Saccharomyces cerevisiae S288C: one gene and its partner. The protein of the gene in region 1 binds, or shares a complex with, the protein of each later gene. Each region holds a gene or a part of one and is shown in the gene's direction. Other genes may lie near its edges.

Region 1 (2,897 bases):
TCTATTTTGCATATTTTCCTATATTTTCCTATATTTTTTTCTCGGCTCTTATACAGCAAAACTAGGTTCATATAAAAAAGATACGGTTATATGCATTATTTAGATCGGAAAAAGTCTCTGTCTAATGCGGTCACCTAGGGTTCGTCCTTTCAAGCGTATGTAAGACAACCATTCCTTCACACCCATGAGCGCGAGTGACAAAACAAAGCTCTGCAATAAGGGCATGAGCAGGACATCGCGAACCACAACTTTCGTAATCACACCCGCCTTCCGTGAGAGAGACGATGAGGGTGCCAATTCCCTGTGTAAAGCTTTCTTGAACACTTTCTCGAACCTCAAATCAGGTATGTTCAAATGTTTGTTGGGAGTTGGCGCCGTAGGTACGTTCATTTCTACGTTCCCACAGTTTTTCTTGCTGCCTTGCCTTCTTTGCGTACGGTGTGTATGTGTATGTCTGTGTGCAAGTATTTCCTATGCTGCAAGTGCGATTTTCTCGTTTTCTATTTTTTTTTTTTTTTGCCTCGCCTAATATGTGGTAGGCGAAAGGCTGACCCGGCCGCTCGCACGGAAATATTTGGCAAATGAGTCTTGACCATAGAAAAATGTATATAACCAGGGAAGAAGTCATGCTTCGGAAGGACCAGAAGAGAAGAGATGAGCAAAGGAGACAGAACAAGAGTAGCAGAAAGTCATGGGCCGTACAACTTCTGAGGGAATACACGGTTTTGTGGACGATCTAGAGCCCAAGAGCAGCATTCTTGATAAAGTCGGAGACTTTATCACCGTAAACACGAAACGGCATGATGGGCGCGAGGACTTCAACGAGCAAAACGACGAGCTGAACAGTCAAGAGAACCACAACAGCAGTGAGAATGGGAACGAGAATGAAAATGAACAAGACAGTCTCGCGTTGGACGACCTAGACCGCGCCTTTGAGCTGGTGGAAGGTATGGATATGGACTGGATGATGCCCTCGCATGCGCACCACTCCCCAGCTACAACTGCTACAATCAAGCCGCGGCTATTATATTCGCCGCTAATACACACGCAAAGTGCGGTTCCCGTAACCATTTCGCCGAACTTGGTCGCTACTGCTACTTCCACCACATCCGCTAACAAAGTCACTAAAAACAAGAGTAATAGTAGTCCGTATTTGAACAAGCGCAGAGGTAAACCCGGGCCGGATTCGGCCACTTCGCTGTTCGAATTGCCCGACAGCGTTATCCCAACTCCGAAACCGAAACCGAAACCAAAGCAATATCCGAAAGTTATTCTGCCGTCGAACAGCACAAGACGCGTATCACCGGTCACGGCCAAGACCAGCAGCAGCGCAGAAGGCGTGGTCGTAGCAAGTGAGTCTCCTGTAATCGCGCCGCACGGATCGAGCCATTCGCGGTCGCTGAGTAAGCGACGGTCATCGGGCGCGCTCGTGGACGATGACAAGCGCGAATCACACAAGCATGCAGAGCAAGCACGGCGTAATCGATTAGCGGTCGCGCTGCACGAACTGGCGTCTTTAATCCCCGCGGAGTGGAAACAGCAAAATGTGTCGGCCGCGCCGTCCAAAGCGACCACCGTGGAGGCGGCCTGCCGGTACATCCGTCACCTACAGCAGAACGTGAGCACGTGACCGTGCACCAATGGGAAGCACGTTCCGGGCATATCGGACTGGGGCGCGCCTCCCCTGCGCGGTGCTTGTTATAAGAGGCGCTTTGCTGGAAAGTGGCCCACACCGGGTTTTCGAGATTAGGACCTACTCAGTCTTAAGGGCAGTATTGGTTGGCGCTTATTTGCACATATTGTATACACGCACTCACATTAACAGAAGCACACATATACACTTACACCTACACACACGGATAAAGAAAAAGAAATAGAAAATGGGCATGTTGGAACTAGTTGGTGAGTACTGGGAACAACTAAAGATAACCGTTGTGCCTGTTGTGGCCGCGGCCGAAGATGACGATAACGAGCAGCATGAAGAAAAGGCAGCAGAAGGAGAAGAAAAAGAAGAAGAAAATGGGGATGAAGATGAGGATGAAGACGAAGACGAAGATGATGATGATGATGACGACGAAGATGAGGAAGAAGAGGAAGAAGTCACTGATCAGTTGGAAGATTTGAGAGAACATTTCAAGAACACGGAGGAGGGTAAGGCCCTTGTGCACCACTACGAGGAGTGTGCTGAGAGAGTCAAGATACAGCAACAACAACCCGGCTACGCGGATCTTGAACACAAGGAGGACTGTGTGGAGGAGTTTTTCCATCTACAGCACTATTTGGACACTGCCACGGCACCTAGATTATTTGACAAATTAAAGTAGTCTGTTTATCCGTCATATTCCCTATATTCATATTTATTCTGAGTCTTGTTACAATTTCTTCAAGAAACCGATCCTTATTTAACCTACTGTATTTAGAAAGTAAATAAATAAACTAAAATCAAAGCAAAAATAATTTTATACACTATTCTTATTTTTATTTTTTAATTTTTAATTTTTTTTATAAGGGAGCACAAGTATACAGACGGAAAAGGGATTAGGCTTTTTTTATGCGCTCTGTCTAGTACTGTTTTCTTTTACATCCGTACATACTCTTAGACCCATACAGCGCATGTATTCTTGTTTTCGACTTTTTTTTGGTTTTTTTTTTTTAGTTCTGTAAGGACAAAGAAAAATGGTCGCTAGCCGCGCTCGGGAAAACCAGCGATATTCTCAATGTAGGAAGTCTACCATTTTCCCTTTAGGCTTTGCCATAATCTCTGGATACATACAATTTCAGAATATTTCAATACTGCATATTTCAAGATTCAACCCATTATTTTATAACATTTTTCATTCAATATTCAAGAACCCCGGAACAACAATACAGTTAGAAAGTACGTTATATTATCATGA
Region 2 (3,255 bases), on another chromosome or scaffold:
AATTGTTACTTTGAGAAAGTCTTTGTACACCAACACTTCTAGAAAGGCTTTGGAAGAAGTCAGCTTGAAGTGGATTGACACTGCTTCTAAGTTCGGTAAGGGTAGATTCCAAACCCCAGCTGAAAAGCATGCTTTCATGGGTACTTTGAAGAAGGACTTGTAAGAAGTTTTGTTAGAAAATAAATCATTTTTTAATTGAGCATTCTTATTCCTATTTTATTTAAATAGTTTTATGTATTGTTAGCTACATACAACAGTTTAAATCAAATTTTCTTTTTCCCAAGTCCAAAATGGAGGTTTATTTTGATGACCCGCATGCGATTATGTTTTGAAAGTATAAGACTACATACATGTACATATATTTAAACATGTAAACCCGTCCATTATATTGCTTACTTTCTTCTTTTTTGCCGTTTTGACTTGGACCTCTGGTTTGCTATTTCCTTACAATCTTTGCTACAATACCATTTGCCCTTGGGAGCTTGTTTCAGGCCTACGCAACCATAATGGAACCACTCGAAGGGACAAGCCGGATTATCACAAGCCACCATTGGCCCATAAGATACATTCCTACAGAAACAATAAACCTCCTCTTGATTATTATTACCCTCTGTTACATCACCCTGGTTAATCCCAATTGTGGGGCTAGTTATGCTCTCTTTTCTTTCCCTCGATTTAGCCTTTTTCAAGTTAATCTTTAAAAGCAGTTTTGGCTCCTTATATGCTCCTGGTTCTTCTAACGTCAACTTCGACTTGATATTCTCTAGCGAAGAGTTGAAATTTTTTGTCACTGACTTCTGTATCTCTAGTTCCTTCTTATGCTGCTTTAAGAAATGAATCTGATCATCGACCAGATCATTAATATAAGTCGCTACCAGCAACAGATCCCTACAGGCCCTTTCCATACCAGGCTCATCCTCTTCATTCTTGAATAAGTCGATTGTTTGCATCAGTCGAAGAGATCTTATTAGTTCACATGGTAAATGATCCAAAGTGCTAAGGAAACTGTACCTGATATCCGAATCCGAGTTTTCGTTGGCGAGATGTTCCATTGCTGTAGACGAAAAAAACTTCCTTGTAAAGCGGATGTGCTAGCGCATCATACATTTCAGTTCTATTAAGACTTTCACAGATGCTGTTGTGATGTTCTGTGAGCCAATCCCAAATGTTTGTATAAGGACGGAAATAAGACGGAGCGCCACGTGACTGAAGATTTTTTTTTTCTCGGATTTCTTGGTAATGGGCGGCCGGTATTTCCGGCGGCCAAAAAATGCGAGGATTTGGTTGGTGGAGAGGGTCGAGCGCCTTTACCCTGCGTAGATACTAAGGGGGCTCTTTCTAGTATATAAACAATTTGAATAATAACGAGGTTAGACGTCCAACTGGATCCATAGACTATCTAAGCTTTTAGTAGAGGCCATTCGTTTTCTTATTAATCATCGGTTTCACAATCTTTCTTTGTTAAGCAACATTTTATACATTTTTGTACTTTATCTTCAAATATTAAGGACAAGAAAGAAAAAGAAAAAGAATCCATATTCTATATTAGTGTAACACTATTTTTCTTAAATATTTTTTCCAGTACTCCCCCAGTTTGATAAAAAGCATTCATTGAATTTCCCCACATTTGTGATATCTTCAATTGATTAGTTTGAACTAGTTCTGAAAAATAATATTTTACAATTTGCATTTTCATTACACTATATCATCTACTATTTTTTCTCAGAAGCGGAAGTTATAACTAATTTGACAATGTTTTCAAATCTATCTAAACGTTGGGCTCAAAGGACCCTCTCGAAAAGTTTCTACTCTACCGCAACAGGTGCTGCTAGTAAATCTGGCAAGCTTACTCAAAAGCTCGTTACAGCGGGTGTTGCTGCCGCCGGTATCACCGCATCGACTTTACTCTATGCAGACTCCTTAACTGCCGAAGCTATGACCGCAGCTGAACACGGATTGCACGCCCCAGCATATGCTTGGTCCCACAATGGGCCTTTTGAAACATTTGATCATGCATCCATTAGAAGAGGTTACCAGGTTTACCGTGAAGTTTGTGCCGCCTGCCATTCTCTTGACAGAGTTGCTTGGAGAACTTTGGTTGGTGTTTCTCATACCAACGAAGAGGTTCGTAATATGGCCGAAGAATTTGAATACGATGACGAACCTGATGAACAAGGTAACCCTAAAAAGAGACCAGGTAAGTTGTCCGATTACATCCCTGGCCCATACCCAAACGAACAGGCTGCAAGAGCTGCCAATCAAGGTGCCTTGCCACCTGATCTATCTTTGATCGTGAAAGCTAGACACGGTGGTTGTGACTACATTTTCTCTTTGTTGACCGGTTATCCTGATGAACCTCCTGCTGGTGTGGCTTTACCACCAGGTTCTAATTATAACCCTTACTTCCCAGGTGGTTCCATTGCAATGGCAAGAGTCTTGTTTGATGACATGGTTGAGTACGAAGATGGTACCCCCGCAACGACATCTCAAATGGCAAAGGACGTTACCACCTTTTTAAACTGGTGTGCCGAACCTGAACATGACGAAAGAAAGAGATTGGGTTTGAAAACGGTGATAATCTTATCATCTTTGTATTTGCTATCTATCTGGGTGAAGAAGTTCAAATGGGCCGGTATCAAAACCAGAAAATTCGTTTTCAATCCACCAAAACCAAGAAAGTAGTTGACAAAAAAATGAAAACCACTATTATTTAAATTACGGAAAAAAAAAAACCAATAAACAAAAAACATAATAAAAGAAATGAAAAAAAAGAATATTAGTAGAGCATACTGAATTGTTTTCAGAAAGAGAGTGAAAGGTAACAAAAATTTACCTACTTTTCCTTTTTATTTCTCTGGTTTCGTTTCTTTTTTTTCGGCCACCCTATTTATTTTTTCACTGCTTGTAAACAACGTCTCACTTCAATAGTGTCTCCTTCATGTACTGAGATACTGCTGCAAGCGAAATATCACGAATAATAATATAAAAAAAAAAAAAAAAAAAAAAAAAGATGTTTAAATGTTAACAACCTAACAGCAATAAAAAATAAAAATAAAGGTAGAAGATTGCAAGAAAGAAACTTTACAATATTTTGTTTGGATGCCCAACACCGGCGTCTTGGTGTTCTTCTATAATATTTATTTTATTTATTTTTTATTTATATATGTACATATATATTCCTATTATCTATTAAGAAAGTAAACTTAGTGTAAATCTACCACTGTTCCAAGGCTTTGGCCATCCACCTTCTCTTTC

What was found. Proteins that work in one complex are often made in the same cells at the same time.
Region 2: the proteins of QCR6 (region 1) and CYT1 are in contact, whole or in part, in a cryo-EM structure (PDB 6HU9), measured with the Saccharomyces cerevisiae proteins. Residues at the interface, in NP_116691.3 of Saccharomyces cerevisiae: Val74 (codon at 2,100), Thr75 (codon at 2,103), Asp76 (codon at 2,106), Gln77 (codon at 2,109), Leu78 (codon at 2,112), Glu79 (codon at 2,115), Arg82 (codon at 2,124), Tyr98 (codon at 2,172), Ala102 (codon at 2,184), Val105 (codon at 2,193), Gln109 (codon at 2,205), Glu121 (codon at 2,241), Asp122 (codon at 2,244), Cys123 (codon at 2,247), Val124 (codon at 2,250), Phe127 (codon at 2,259), Phe128 (codon at 2,262), Gln131 (codon at 2,271), His132 (codon at 2,274), Asp135 (codon at 2,283), Thr138 (codon at 2,292), Ala139 (codon at 2,295), Leu142 (codon at 2,304), Phe143 (codon at 2,307), Leu146 (codon at 2,316), Lys147 (codon at 2,319); in NP_014708.1 of Saccharomyces cerevisiae: Ala64 (codon at 1,942), Ala65 (codon at 1,945), Gly68 (codon at 1,954), Leu69 (codon at 1,957), Pro72 (codon at 1,966), Ala73 (codon at 1,969), Tyr74 (codon at 1,972), Ala75 (codon at 1,975), Trp76 (codon at 1,978), Arg92 (codon at 2,026), Phe192 (codon at 2,326), Thr196 (codon at 2,338), Gly197 (codon at 2,341), Pro199 (codon at 2,347), Pro202 (codon at 2,356), Pro203 (codon at 2,359), Ala204 (codon at 2,362), Gly205 (codon at 2,365), Val206 (codon at 2,368), Tyr214 (codon at 2,392), Pro216 (codon at 2,398), Tyr217 (codon at 2,401), Arg227 (codon at 2,431), Asp231 (codon at 2,443), Thr240 (codon at 2,470), Pro241 (codon at 2,473), Thr243 (codon at 2,479), Thr244 (codon at 2,482), Ser245 (codon at 2,485), Gln246 (codon at 2,488).

The regions. Positions count from the first base shown.
Region 1 is NC_001138.5:223,753-226,649, reverse strand, and holds QCR6 (ubiquinol--cytochrome-c reductase subunit 6), read left to right. Parts: upstream 1-1,880; coding exon 1,881-2,324; downstream 2,325-2,897. Other genes in the region: YFR035W-A (uncharacterized protein), read right to left, coding at 100-390; YFR035C (uncharacterized protein), read left to right, coding at 185-529; phosphate-sensing transcription factor PHO4, read left to right, coding at 692-1,630; MIN10 (Min10p), read left to right, coding at 2,677-2,897. UniProt on the Saccharomyces cerevisiae protein: Component of the ubiquinol-cytochrome c oxidoreductase, a multisubunit transmembrane complex that is part of the mitochondrial electron transport chain which drives oxidative phosphorylation.
Region 2 is NC_001147.6:445,687-448,941, forward strand, and holds CYT1 (ubiquinol--cytochrome-c reductase catalytic subunit CYT1), read left to right. Parts: upstream 1-1,752; coding exon 1,753-2,682; downstream 2,683-3,255. Other genes in the region: 60S ribosomal protein uL3 RPL3, read left to right, coding at 1-163; YNG1 (Yng1p), read right to left, coding at 393-1,052. UniProt on the Saccharomyces cerevisiae protein: Component of the ubiquinol-cytochrome c oxidoreductase, a multisubunit transmembrane complex that is part of the mitochondrial electron transport chain which drives oxidative phosphorylation.